2 linked regions of the Macaca mulatta genome follow. The protein of the gene in region 2 interacts with the protein of the main gene of each other region in a biochemical or structural test. Links are inferred from orthologs where the notes say so. Each region holds a gene or a part of one and is shown on either strand. Other genes may lie near its edges.

Region 1 (7,308 bases), on a different chromosome or scaffold from region 2:
CTCCAGTTCCTTGGCCTGCCCTGTCAGCTCATCCAGTGGCTTTGTCTCAAATAGCCAGCGGGCTGCACGAACGTCCCCTCCACTTGGCTGGGGCCTGGTTGGCTCCTGGTCTGTGCTGTTGGCAAAAGAGCCTTCCTCAAACTTGCGGGAGGTGGCCTGGACGTCACCACCCGGCACAGGCTCCTTGGCAGCTGGCCTCTCGTGATCTCCAATGGCATCCAGTCGCCAGTTCTCAAAGATCCATCGCATGCACTGAACGTCACCCTCAGTGGGTTCCTCAGAGCCCAGGACCTCGGCCAGATCCTCGGCCACAGCCTCGGCCAGATTCTTGCGGAGCTCAGGGTGGATGTGCCTGTAGAGGCGGCGGAGTTCACTAGCTTGCCGCTGCTGGTGGAACTTGGAGAAGGACTCCTTGGGTGGTGGCAGTGGCAGGTCATCCAGGGCTGGGGGTGGAGGGAGGGGCAGGTCCTCTGCAGTTGCCATCCTCATGGTTGGTGTGGGGGCCACCTGTGTCTGGGCGTCGGCCATCCTTCTGAGAAGAAGGGGCAGAGATGAGGATGGGATGGGGGGCCTTAGATCTAGATGTTCAGCAGGGTAGAGGCTGGATGCTGGGAGAAATGGCAGTAAACAGGGCTCAGGGTCAGAGTAGCTCTCGGTGACTTACACTTAGAGACTCCTTGCCTCTCTTTATGTGCCTGGCCTGGGTTTCACTTTGCTGCCTGTTGTGGGCAACAGGTCTTGAACTTAGGACATATGGACCCATTAATCACAGTGGGTTCCTGCTTTCCCTACATCTCCTGGGTTGCTAGGGAGCAACCATGGGACAACTGGACATGACACTCTTTCCTTTAGCTCCATAAGGGATGCCTAACTGGACAGGCCCCATCCTCGCCTTCCTTTGTTAAAAATCAGTGTTGCCCTAGAAGACTCCCAGGAGAGTGGCCTGGGGGAATCCTGACTTTTGGAGTCCCAGCCTTGGAGGGACAGGTCTCTAACCTGGTGACTGATTTCCCATGGAGACGAGATTCCTTTGCAGAACACCAGAGGGCAGACTTGCCATGTTGACCTGGAGTGCTGCCTAACTTTTCTCTCTTGGCTGTCAACGCACTCCAACCTTTCCCAGGCCCAAGGAGGCAAGCGGAGGCCAACAGCCCATGCTAGGGCAGAAGCAGTTGAGGATCAGGGCTGGGAAGCTGCTCATCAGATATCTCGTGGTTAGGCCAGATCCAAATTCTGAATCTCTGGTCAGGGTTTTCTGCACTATACTCCAAGACTGAGAATGTCTGAGCTAGGGGGATCTCAAAGGTCTTTTAGCACAACCATTTATAAATAAAGACGAGGGAACTTAGGTCCAGAGTCAGATCTTGGTGAATAAATGGAAGGCAGTGCTGGCTTGGGGTCCCTAGACTCTATTTAGGGCATGGGCCCAAGACATAAGAGGGTAGGAGGTGTAAAGCTTTCTTATTGGCCATAGGACCAGTCTATTCCCCAGCAGGCACCCCTCGGAGGATATGAGGGCGACACCTACCAGGGAGAGGACCATGGGACCAGGGTCCTTTCTGCAGAGACAGCTCTGCCCCTTGCCCCTGGAGACCGCTCTCTAAGCAAGCAAGCACAGCTTCAGGGGCTCGGACTCAGGGGGGCTTCAGGCTAAGCCCTACCCCTCCCTGGCTCCACCCCCACCCCTCAATGGCCTCCCACCCCTCAAGCGCTTCTCTGGTCTCTGTCCATGTATGTCTTATCTGTCTTGTGACAGGTGTACTAACAGTCCCCAGAGGCCAGTAGGGAAAGAATGGGAAGCATGTGCCCCCTCCCGCTGCCCCTGACCCACTGCTCTGCACCACACAGGGTGCTAAATATAGCTGATGTTCTGGCCTCAGAACAGCAGCCCGGGGCTCAGAGGGAGGCTGAGGCCCAGCCAGTGGGGATCCTCAGTGCCCTTGGCTCACCTCGTCTCCTTCGTTACCCTGGGCTCCCCTATCCTGCCTCCTGGGCTGGTGTCAGGCCCCTGGGCTGCAGTCCAACCAGGTGCTAGAACCTGGACACCTTCCCTGGCCAAAGGAGTCTGCGGTGGAGGGAAGTACTGGCAGCAAGTGGGGCAGGACTTCCTCCCTATGGCTACCTCAGAAGGAGGAGAGAGGAAATTGAGACCTCCTGACCCCATGCCCACCCTGGCATGTCCACCAAAGACATCAGAACCTTTGGGGAGTGTGAGCTCTGAAACCTGTAACCTGAGTCTCATCAAAGCTCTGCGTGGTTTTCTTTCATTTCTGAGCTCCAACGAGGATCCCCTGCCCAAGGCAAACCTGTGCCTGTCTCCACCTCCACTCCATCCTGTCACCAGCAGGGTGACCTGAGCAGATGGCATGGGCAGACCATCAGCTTCACCCCACCCCCACCCCCAGGAATTTCCAGAATCTCTGCTAAGGCCACAGGCAGTTATTATCATGGAGTCCAGGGATGTCAGGCCTAAGGACCCTCAGAGATCACTCAATCTAAACCCCTTATTGTTCAAATAGGGAAACAGAGGGCCAAAGAGGGGAAAGGAGCTGTCCAAGGAGGCTCAGCAAGGCAGTAGCAAAGCCTGAAGCATGCCTCCTGACTCCTGGCCTTCTCACCACCATCCTTGCCTGGCTTGAGACTCCTGGGGCAAGTGTAGAGTCAGGACAGAATTCATAACTGGGACCAGACTTAGGTGGGGTGACCCCAAGAACTGTCCTAAACCTTGGTCTCCTAGGGCTGGGCCAACCTCTCAGGATGGTCCCACTGCTGTCCTCAGGTTACCTCCTCCTCGGCCCAGCTGGCTCCATATGTCTTTACATCTGGGCAAATTCAGATCCGGTCTCCCTCCCCTGAGCGCCCCAGATCTGCCCTGGGGGCTTTCCCACTGGGCAAGACCATGGGCAGAGTCCAAATTCCACCCCAGGTTTTAGGCTATGATACGTAGGGAGCTGGGCTCCGGCCAGCCCCTGGGAGCTATGCCTGGGCCAGATATGCCGAGAGTGTCATCCACAGCAACTAGGCATGGGGCTTGTTCTAGCAATGCACACTCAGGCCTACCTACGGCCCCTGCTCCCGCCTCTCTTCTGTTCCTCCTTCCTCCAGACCCTGGGCCTGCCTGAGGCTTCCCTGGGAGGAAGCCCCGAAGCCTGAGGCATTCCATACCTGTATTTTAAAAATCACAACTCCAGGCCTTACTGGATCATGCCAGCCTGGCAGGACCCTGTCCTTTCTGCTAGCTTCAGGCCTGTGGCAGCCACTCTGAGAGCTCCCATGGGGCTCACACTGTCTTTACCTCCTTTGTGGGTTCTTTATATCTGAGACTTCCACTCACCTCCTCCCATGCATGCCCCTCAATCTCCTTCCCCCACTCAGAGCCACCCCTAATACGTCCATTCCAGGAGGGCAGGGGATCCCAGCTGTGAACGCCAGCCCTGCCGTGGAAGGACAGAGAGGTAGGTTACTCACCGAGGGTCTCTCTTGGCTGATGGGGTGTTTGGGGTCTGTAGCAGCTGTGGTCTCAGGGTTCGTCGTTCCTCTCGAGGTTCTTGTTCAAATTGGTTCTGTTCTGCTGGCTCCAACAGACACCTTCTTGCTGCCCTGGCTCCGGGTCTCTGTCCCCTGCCAGCCCCAGCAGCTGCCTTTATCTTGCTGGCTAGTGGGTGGGCCGTGGTGGGGGCGGGCGGGAGAGGCTATGTTCAGAGTATTAAGTGGTTTGGTTATTTTTAGGTCTTGTGGAAGTCACTCTTCCATCCTGGGGAATCAATTACATGTCCTTCGGGCTGGGGAGGGGAAACAGAGGGGGAGAAGCTTCATTCATCCAGAGTCTGATCTGGGGATTGGGGTCAGTGACTCAGCTGGGTTGTGGGGTTGGGGGTGTCCCAGACTATTTTGAGAGAGTGAATAAGAAGGGGCATCTGACACCTTGGACAGCTTGCCCCCGTCTTGTGAGCCTCCATCACTCTACTCTGGTCCTGCCTCTGACTCTTCCTGACGTGTCTCCACCCACTGTGCCAGGAGACTGGAGGTCTCCTGAGGGCAGGCTGGGCCTCTCCTCCTCTGTTCTGAGCCTGAATACCTCTGAGTGTGAAGCTCAGCTCTTTTTCTTCCCCATTCCCTTCTGCACTAAAGAATTCCTTCTTTCTTATCCATTCTTCCCCGTGCCCCACAGCACAGGTCAACACGGCCCTGATAAAGCTGGATTTTGGGGGAAGACATCTGAATGACAAGGCACAGCTCTTCACTGGGCCGAGATTGGCCAGGTCCAGCTCCTCCTTTGCGCCACCATACCCGGTTAATTTTTGTATTTTTAGTAGAGATGGGGTTTTACCATGTTGGCCAGGCTGGTCTTGAACTGCCGACCTCAGGTGATCTGCCTGCCTCGGCCTCCCAATGAATGAATTCCACAGCAGGACTCCGTGGTTTTCATCCCAGATTAACTGAGTCCTTTCTCTCTTCTCGACTCTTCCCTCTGACTCAGGGCCCAGGCTTTCTGGGAACGGAGGGGAGGGGAAGGGCGGCATGCAGGGAGCTGACCGTGGGGTTATTTCTGACCCTGGAGTCATCAGCTTCCCAGTCACAGATGGAGTGGCAGCAGGGAGGGGGGTCACACCTGCCTCCTCCTTTGCTTACCAGGGTCTGAGGGGCCCAGCAGGCCCAAGAGATCCTGGCAGTCAGACCAGTGTGGTGAAGGATATCAGGGGACCATCCACAGAAAACTTGAAAGAGGTGTTTCATCCTAGGTGGGCCTGGCCCAGGCTCCATGCCTGTGGGTATGCAGGTGCATTCTGTGGCCTGGCACATGAGGTCTTCCTTCTGACTCCCCAAATGCCCTCTGGTACCAGGGGATGATGCCAGACATTGCTCACTTTTTCCATGTAGTCAACGTCAGTCCTGCAGTGGCAGCTGGAACGGGGGCGAGGACATCTGGGAACCCCTCTTCCTGGTCTCCCTCCCTCTTGTCTCTTCCCCTGCTCTTTTCTAGCCCTCTACCTGTCCCGCAGGCTCCTGGCTCTCTCCAGGAAGGGCAGGGAGACCAATGTACCAGTGTTTCAGGGAAGGGGCAGCCTTAGGTCTCTCCGAATTTCTCCCAGGAGGAGCTTTCTCCCTGTGGATGCTGAAAGTTCCTACTTTCTAGGTTAGTTTTGAGAATTGAAGGAATTATTATATGAAAAGAGTGCCTCCAGCCAGGCACGGTGGCTCACACCTGTAATCTCAGCACACTTTGGCAGGCTGAGGCTGGTGGATCACTTGAGGTCAGGAGTTCGAGACCAGCCTGACCAACATGGTGAAACCCTGTCTCTACTAAAAATATACAAAATTAGCTGGGCATGGTGGCACACGCCTGTAATCCCAACTACTTGGGAGGCTGAGGCAGGAAAATTGAACCTGGGAGGCAGAAGATGCAGTGAGCTGGGATCGCAACCCTGTACTCCAGCTTGGGTGATAGAGTGAGACTCTGTCTCAAAAAAAAAAAAAAAAAAAAAAAAAAAAAAGTGCTTGAGAGCACTTAGCACATAGCCTATGCTTTAGAAGAGCCAGCTATTATACTGTATATAACACAAAAAAGAAAAGCTCCTAGGTGGAACTAACTTTTGTATTCACCTCCTGTGATAACCATGGGAGAAATTCCTCAGGCCTCAGTATTAGGAAAGAGGCTCTTCTTGAGCACTTGGTTTCTTTGTATCTAGTACAGCTGTGCTGTCCAATACAGTCGCCACTAGCCAAATGAGGCTATTTAAATTTAAGTACATTAAAATGAAATAAAATAAAAACTCAGTTATTTCACTACACTAGCCATATTTGAAGTGCTCCATAGAGACAAGTGGCTAGCAACTATTATATTGATTTTGTTTGTTTGTTTGTTTGTTTGTTTGTTTTTGAGACGGAGTTTCGCTCTGTTGCCCAGGCTGGAGTGCAGTGGCGCGATCTTGGCTCACTGCACCTTCTGCCTCCCGGGTTCAAGTGATTCTCCTGCCTTAGCCACCCCAGTAGCTGGGATTACAGGTGTGTGCCACTGTGCCCAGCTAATTTTTGTATTTTTAGTAGAGATGGGGTTTCATCATGTTGCCCACACTGATCTCAGACTCCTGACCTCAGCTGTTCCGCCTGCCTCGGCCTCCCAAAGTGCTGGGATTACAGACATGAGCCACCGTGCCTGACCTGAAACTATTATATTGAATAGTGCAGAATGTTTCCATTATTGCAGAAAGTTCTACCAGATAGTGCTGTTATAGATGTTAAAATAAATAAGTAAATAATTTTTTTCTGGAAGGAGAATTGTCAATAAAATAAACAATTTTTATAACATATGGTGTTTCTCTTTGCCTTGGCTGCTAGGAAACTCAGAGCTAAATTTTTAAACTAGCAAGTAGACTTTATGGTCCAAATTCTCTGTAATGAGGGTGATCAACTTTTTGTTGTCTGTCTCTGAGGAGTTTTGCAAGACAAGGGACTTTCAGTTTTAAAACTGGAAGAGTTCTAACAAAGCCAGGACAAGCTAGTCACTCTATGTGTAATGATCTAATGATATCACATCATCATGATATTAATTATGAGGCTGTCAAGGTAGTAAACTAGGCATTATTTACTGGAGTATCTTTAGTGGCATTAAGAAGGTAAACTGAGGCATAATAAATTTTTTAAGAGTTTATGTGTGCAAACAACAATTTTCGAACCAGGCAGTCCCAAACCAGAAGTGGCTTGGGAGCTCTACTGAGGGAACACAAGCGGGAGCTTTTTATAAGACAGATACAGAAATAAAGCAAAGATAATATTTGATTGATTACAGTTATAGAGTTGTCTTATTTGGTCTATCCCATTGGAAAGTCCCTGGTTATATAATTATTTGTGCTAGCTGCTTCTCATTAGTTGCACTTAAGTTTTATTTTTCTTTAATAGAAGCATTTACAAGAAATAGCTCAAGGGCTGGCATGGTGACTCACACCTGTTATCTGAGCACTTTGGGAGGCTGAGGTGGGAGGATCACTTGAGCCCAGGAGCTGGAGACCAGCTTGGGCAACATAGCAAGACCTCGTCTCTACAAAAAATAAAAGAAAATATTAGCTGAGTGTGGTGGCGTGCACTCGTTGTCCCAGTTACTAGGGAGTCTGAAGTGGGAGAATTGCTTAAGCCAGAGAGGTGGAGGCTGCAGTGAGCTGTGATTGTGCCACTGCATTCCAGGCTAGGTGGCAAAGTGAGATCCTGTCTCAAAAAAAAAAAAAAAAGAAAAGAAAAAAGAAAAGAAGGAAGGAAGGAAGGGCGGGCTCCAGTTTTGCGTTATGTCTGCAAATCAAGCAAGGTTAAGGT
Region 2 (6,184 bases):
TGGAGGGTTTCTGCTATCTGAGAGATGGGTAAGAGTTGAGGACAGCAGGTCCATGGGGCCAGGGATTTAGCAGTGACCTTGGAAGGGCCAGTTAGAAGTCCCTTCCCGTAAGGCACAAGGCAGGGCCCTTGGGGACGGTGGGCTCCGACCCTGTGGGCTAGCCCCTACACTCAGGCATGCCACGCCTCATTCTGCTTTTCTCAGGGTGGGTTTGCCTGTCCTACTGCCACCTGCCATTTCTTGTTAGTTTGTTCCACCTTCTCCTGTTCTAAGAATGCTAGATGCCAACATTTATAAGAATGAGAGTATAAAATCTATACAAACTAAGAGTAAACCAGTTTGCAGAGAGGGTGTGAGAGGCTCCTCTAAAGGGAATGCCTATGGCCTGCAGAGCCTGGGCTGCGTCCTCTCCAGGCCGATGGGAGCCTGGCTTGCTTTCTCTTGCTGCTGACTTCTAGAGATGTGGTGTCTTCCTTTCCTTCTGTCATAGCGGACATGTGCAAGGAAGGCTCTCAGCAAGTCACACTGAAACAGGCAAACCAGGGGGCCAGGTGTCCAGGGGACACACTGTAAAGGAGCTTGTGCATAAGGGGCATAGAATAGGCCTCACCCCAGCTCCTTATCCCGCGCGCCTCCTGGCTGCCCCTCAGGGTGGTCACGTTAGCCCATCCAGGGTCCTTGTGCATCTCCTCCTTCCACTCCTGAACCGGGTTCCCCAATGCAGGCTCCAATCCCTCCCCCAGAGCCCTTCTGTGCTTCTTCTGGGTCCTCCCTGTTGGTCCACCTCCTCCAGGAAGCTTTCCCAGGCCAGTCCAGCCAAACTCAGCTTCCTACCTCAGAGCTCTCTGGCACCACCAGCCCACACAGCCCATCAGGCACTTGCTCTCTGCTCTCGGCCTGCTTCACACAGAGTGGGGCCCTTCCTTCCTCAGCCAGGACAGGGTACATCATCTCTCATCGCCCACACACCAAGCACAGCTAGGATAGCAGGTGCACGTATAGGGTTGCATACCAGACCCTGGCTCCTCCTGCTCCCAGGCTGGTCTGGCAGGCAGGGGCCAGGCTGGGCGTAGGGTGGTGGCAGCCTTTGTGCTGGGCTTACGGTGAGCACCATGTGGGGCTTCAGAGAAGAGTGCTCCAGCCCTGGTCTCCCAGCAGTCTGAGCATCCTCCTTGGCCTTTGCAGGAGACAGGGCTCAAGGTGAACCAGCCGGCGTCCTTTGCTGTGCAGCTGAACGGCGCACGGGGCGTGATTGATGCCCGGGTGCACACACCCTCGGGGGCTGTGGAGGAGTGCTACGTCTCTGAGCTAGACAGTGGTGAGCTGGCCCTGCCCCTGCCAACCCCCTGCTGGGCTGGGGCCTTCTAAGAAGGGGAGGGGAAGGATGGAGGGTAAGCCACCAACCCTCTATCCACAGACAAGCATACCATCCGCTTCATCCCCCACGAGAATGGCGTCCACTCCATTGATGTCAAGTTCAATGGTGCCCACATCCCTGGAAGTCCCTTCAAGATCCGCGTTGGGGAGCAGAGCCAGGCTGGGGACCCAGGCTTGGTGTCAGCCTATGGTCCTGGGCTCGAGGGAGGCACTACTGGTGAGTGCCTGGAGCTGGGGAACAGGGTGACTTCTAGGGGTACTTGGCCACTAGTCTGGTGCTGCCTTGCTCCAGAGGCAGGAGCCCTGCTTCCTGAGCCAGGAGTCCCCACAGAGGCTGCCCAGGGAACTGGAGCCTAGCCCCTCTTGGGCCACAAGCCCTTCCTGCCCTCAGCCTTGCTACCTCTGGCCTCTAGGTGTGTCATCAGAGTTCATCGTGAACACCCTGAACGCCGGCTCGGGGGCCTTGTCTGTCACCATTGATGGCCCCTCCAAGGTGCAGCTGGACTGTCGGGAGTGTCCTGAGGGCCACGTGGTCACTTACACTCCCATGGCCCCTGGCAACTACCTCATTGCCATCAAGTACGGTGGCCCCCAGCACATCGTGGGCAGCCCTTTCAAGGCCAAGGTCACTGGTGAGTGCTGGCTTCAGGGAGGTCCATCCAACCTGCAGCCCAGCCCAGCCTGGAGGGCTCCGGTGGCCACGCACATCCAGACCATAGTCTGACCCCAGACACCATGGTCAGTTTACCAGGGCTAGAGGTGGGCCTGGCTCTACACAGCACACATTCTGTGGAGTCAGGCATGATGGTGTAAAAGTCCCATTCTTCCTCTCCATCGCGGCCCCTCACTCCTTCAGCTCTGGCCTGCGCTGGCTCCTCAGGCTCTAGCATCACTTTCTCCCCTCCTGGCTTCCCATATTCCTCGGCTCCAAGAAGACACAGTCAGTATTGAGCAAGCTCCCCTCTTGAGGCTGTCTGTAGGATGCGTTGGGTGGGTGTTCCTTTGTAAAGTGACTCTAACCCTGTGAGTTAGCCTGAGTTCCCAAAGCCTGCAAGGGTGAAGGTCACAGCATCTGAGGCCCCAGCCCTGGGGTGGAGCACCAGTTGGAGCTGGCAGCTCAGGGCCCTGGCTGGGAATGAGGCTGTGCTCCTAGAGTGGCCCTTGGAGGAATTTGAGGGGAGCCACGAATGCAGGCAGTGAGTCCCACAGGGTGGCAATGCTGGCCGAGGGTCCCCTGCCTGGGGAAGAACAGGAAGCCCTCCTGACCAGGTTTGTGCCCCCTCCACCCGCCCCTCAGGTCCGAGGCTGTCCGGAGGCCACAGCCTTCACGAAACATCCACCGTTCTGGTGGAGACTGTGACCAAGTCTTCCTCAAGCCGGGGCTCCAGCTACAGCTCCATCCCCAAGTTCTCCTCAGATGCCAGCAAGGTGGTGACTCGGGGCCCTGGGCTGTCCCAGGCCTTCGTAGGCCAGAAGAACTCCTTCACCGTGGACTGCAGCAAAGCAGGCAGGTGGCGGGGGGGAGGGTGTCTCCCAGGGTGTGAGCAAGAGGCCGTCAGGGAGCAGGGTGTGGGTCACAGTAGGGGACTCCCTGGTGTGAGCCTGTCCCTCTGCCTCCCTCTCCAGGCACCAACATGATGATGGTGGGCGTGCACGGCCCCAAGACCCCCTGTGAGGAGGTGTACGTGAAGCACATGGGGAACCGGGTGTACAATGTCACCTACACCGTCAAGGAGAAAGGGGACTACATCCTCATCGTCAAGTGGGGCGACGAAAGTGTCCCTGGAAGCCCCTTCAAAGTCAAGGTCCCTTGAATGCCAAAAGTGCCTCCCCAGCCTCAGCCCCCACCTCCAGCCAAACACATATTACACACACACACACACACACACACGTGCCACACCCAGACACGCACAGAATCAGACACTACAAACACCTGCCTTGGGGGTGAAGTGAAGGCACAGCCTCCTCACCCCACTGCGCCCCGGGGGTTGGAGGACCTTGTCTGTGTTAGGACAGTGTCCCTCCCCGGGAACGTGATATGCTAACTCACAGACTGGGGCCAGGCTCAGGGGCAGAGGCTGGGACATGAGGGGCTGACAAGTGGGCTTCGAGGCCAGGGAAGCCCTGAGTTTTCTGGCAGGGCTGAGCAGTGGGAGGGCATTGTGTTGTGGGTGTCTGTGTGTGAGGTCACCCTCAATCTGCACCGCCGGCCAGCCACCCCCCTGTCCCTGAGGACTTGGTCTGGTCCCTCTGGTAGCTTCAACCCCAGACTTTTAAGGACTTGGAAAGGAAAGCACAATCAGAGAAGAAAACAGCCCCTGAATCAGCAGGAGTGGCCTGGCACATGGACCGGCCAGAGCGATGTGCATTCTGCCCAAGCCAGCCTCCCAGGGGGCCGGACTTCTCTCTCACTGTCTCTTTTTTTAAAATGGTTGCACGGCTCTGCCCCATGGGGGGCCTTTTTTACACACTGCGAGGCCCAGCTTTCTAGGGGACTTTGCACATGTCATGCAGCTCAGCTGGGAGCTGCTTAGGTGGAAAACTCCAAATAAAGTGCGGCTGTCGCAGAGGCTTGGCTGTTCCTTGCGGGTGTGCTCTCTGTGGCTGGCTGCCCTCTGGCCTGCCACACGAGAAACTGGGCCCTGGGTAGGCAGAGGCAGCCTGGCTGTCCCCTGGAAGATTGACCCAGGTCGAGGGGAAGGTCCTGGGGCAGAAGTGAGGTCTGGGATGTTGGCAGAGTGCCTGAAAGAACTGGGGGCGGGGGCTCGGGGATGTGGGAAGGGGTCCCAGCGGGAGGGTTCGTGGACAGTACAGGGTGTGGATACTGTGTTCTACAGTACTGCCCCAGGACCCCTGGGAGGCCAATTTCAGTTCAGCCTGACCTCAAGGATGTTTTTCAAATTAAGACTTTAAAACAGTGAGCACTGACTCAAACAGGAATATTCCTCAACCAGCAGGCAGACAGAACCACCTGCAGACTCAGCACCTTCCTCCGAGTCTGGTACTGAATCAACTTGGCCTGTTTCATGCCCGTTTCCAGCACTGAGCTTGCACAGGGCTTCCCTCCTGAACTCCTGCCCCAGCCCTGCCCTGGTCAGCTCCCTCCAACCTCCTCTCCATGCTGCAGCTTGAGGGGGGTCACTTTAAAGAGAGTATACCCCTCTCTGGTTTAGGGCCCTCCGTGACTCCCTCCTGCTCCAGAGTAAAGTTTCTTCCTCACAAGGTCTCCAAGGCCCCCCAGGTTCAGACAGCAGCCTCCGCAGCCGTATGAGTTGGGCAGCAAGCCCACTCCCCATTGTACCCTCCACCTCCAACCTCCCTTCACCACTAGTTAACTGGGCACCCATGCTGAATTTGGGCCCCTTCCCGGAAACACCCTTGCCTCCCCACCCTCTTCATCTTCCTGGCCAACAGGAAGTTTCCTGGACCCCTCCCTACCCCTCCTGGATCAGTGCCCCCAGCTCCCAAACTGCCCTGGGACACATCTCTAGCTGCAGTTACCACCCTGAGCTGTGGCCATGTATCCACGGCCCCCCACCAGATGGAGCTCCCTGGCCCTGGGTGTGAATGAGTGAGTGAATGGGTATGAGTGAATAAATGAGCAGCTGAGTAGCTGGAGCAGGGAAAACGCCTTTCATTCACCTGATCCCACAATCTAGACCCACCTGGGCATTTCAGCACACGGTGGTGGGCCTGGCAGAAAAACCCACGAGGCCCCAACTCCTAATCCCTGACCTCCCCACCTCTCTCACCTCTCACCAGCCTCTGTGCTTCCTCCCTCTTCCCACACACCCCTCCTCACTCTCTGCCCCCCTCACTCTCACCCCTAGATGTGCTAATTTCCCCCTCAGCTTCAGCTGCCTCCACCTGTGTGTGGCTGATAAGCTCACAGACCTCCAGCCTGCCCACTTCCAGCCAGCCAGTGTGGCCCTGGGTGCTAAGCCTTAAAGGCCCTCCCTCATTAATCCTCATAACAGCCCTATGAGGTGGGGCTACTACCATCTGAAGAAACCAAGGCCCTGGGAATTTCAGTGATGAGTCTGAAACCATACCTCTAAGTAGTGGGGTACAGATTGAAACCCAGGCGTGCCCAAATCCCAAGCTTATCACACATACAATTGCCAGACCAGACCACTTGCACTCCAAACTCACAAGCACTCCAAACTCACAAACCCCATGCCAGACACCAGGAGTGCTGGTTTATTAAAAGGGAGGAGGAAAGAGCGGCCCCTTCCCCTTCAGCCTGCTCATCTCACAGAGGTCACTTTCCCGGGAGTGTTACTCCCGTTCATGTGCTGTACAGGCCAGAAACCTGGAAGTCACCCAGGTCTCTCTTTTACCTCACTCCCCAAACACGCCACTCTGAAATCAGTTTTGTCCTAAATATCTAAATATCTCTCGGCTCTACCTACTTCTCTGTGTTTCCCATTTATCACCACCTGAGTTCTGGCCACCATTATCTCTCACAATGGCCTCCCAATCTGGTTTTTCCTCCCTCAATTTCGCCTCCGCTCACAGCACAGTCACAGTGAGTGACAGCTCTAAAACGTAAGTTTGGTGATAGCACTCTCTTACTTGAAAACCCTCAGCGGCTTCAGGATAACTCTGTCCTCAGGATAACTTCCAGATCCTTTTTTTTTTTTTTAAACAGAGTCTCGCTCTGTCACCCAGGCTGGAGTGCAGTGGCGCCATCTCAGCTCACCACAACCTCCCTTGCCCGGGTTCAAGCAATTGTCCTGCCTCAGCCTCCCAAGTACCTGGGACTGTAGGCACACACCACCTCATTGGGCTAATGTTTTTTGTACTT

The links. The genes of interacting proteins can lie anywhere in the genome.
Region 1: the proteins of FLNC (region 2) and XIRP1 form a complex in vitro, tested with the Homo sapiens proteins (2 studies listed by BioGRID and IntAct, with this or other methods). The link is inferred for Macaca mulatta from reciprocal best matches to the Homo sapiens genes FLNC and XIRP1.

What each region holds. Positions count from the first base shown.
Region 1 is NC_133407.1:101,491,998-101,499,305, forward strand, and holds the start of XIRP1 (xin actin-binding repeat-containing protein 1), read right to left. Parts: upstream 3,845-7,308; 5' UTR 3,469-3,844; intron 609-3,468; exon of another isoform or gene 533-608; 5' UTR 529-532; coding exon 1-528. UniProt on the Homo sapiens protein: Protects actin filaments from depolymerization. Required for correct cardiac intercalated disk ultrastructure via maintenance of cell-cell adhesion stability, and as a result maintains cardiac organ morphology, conductance and heart beat rhythm.
Region 2 is NC_133408.1:168,490,624-168,496,807, forward strand, and holds the end of FLNC (filamin-C), read left to right. Parts: intron 1-1,185; coding exon 1,186-1,318; intron 1,319-1,417; coding exon 1,418-1,594; intron 1,595-1,790; coding exon 1,791-2,009; intron 2,010-2,674; coding exon 2,675-2,884; intron 2,885-3,003; coding exon 3,004-3,191; 3' UTR 3,192-3,944; downstream 3,945-6,184.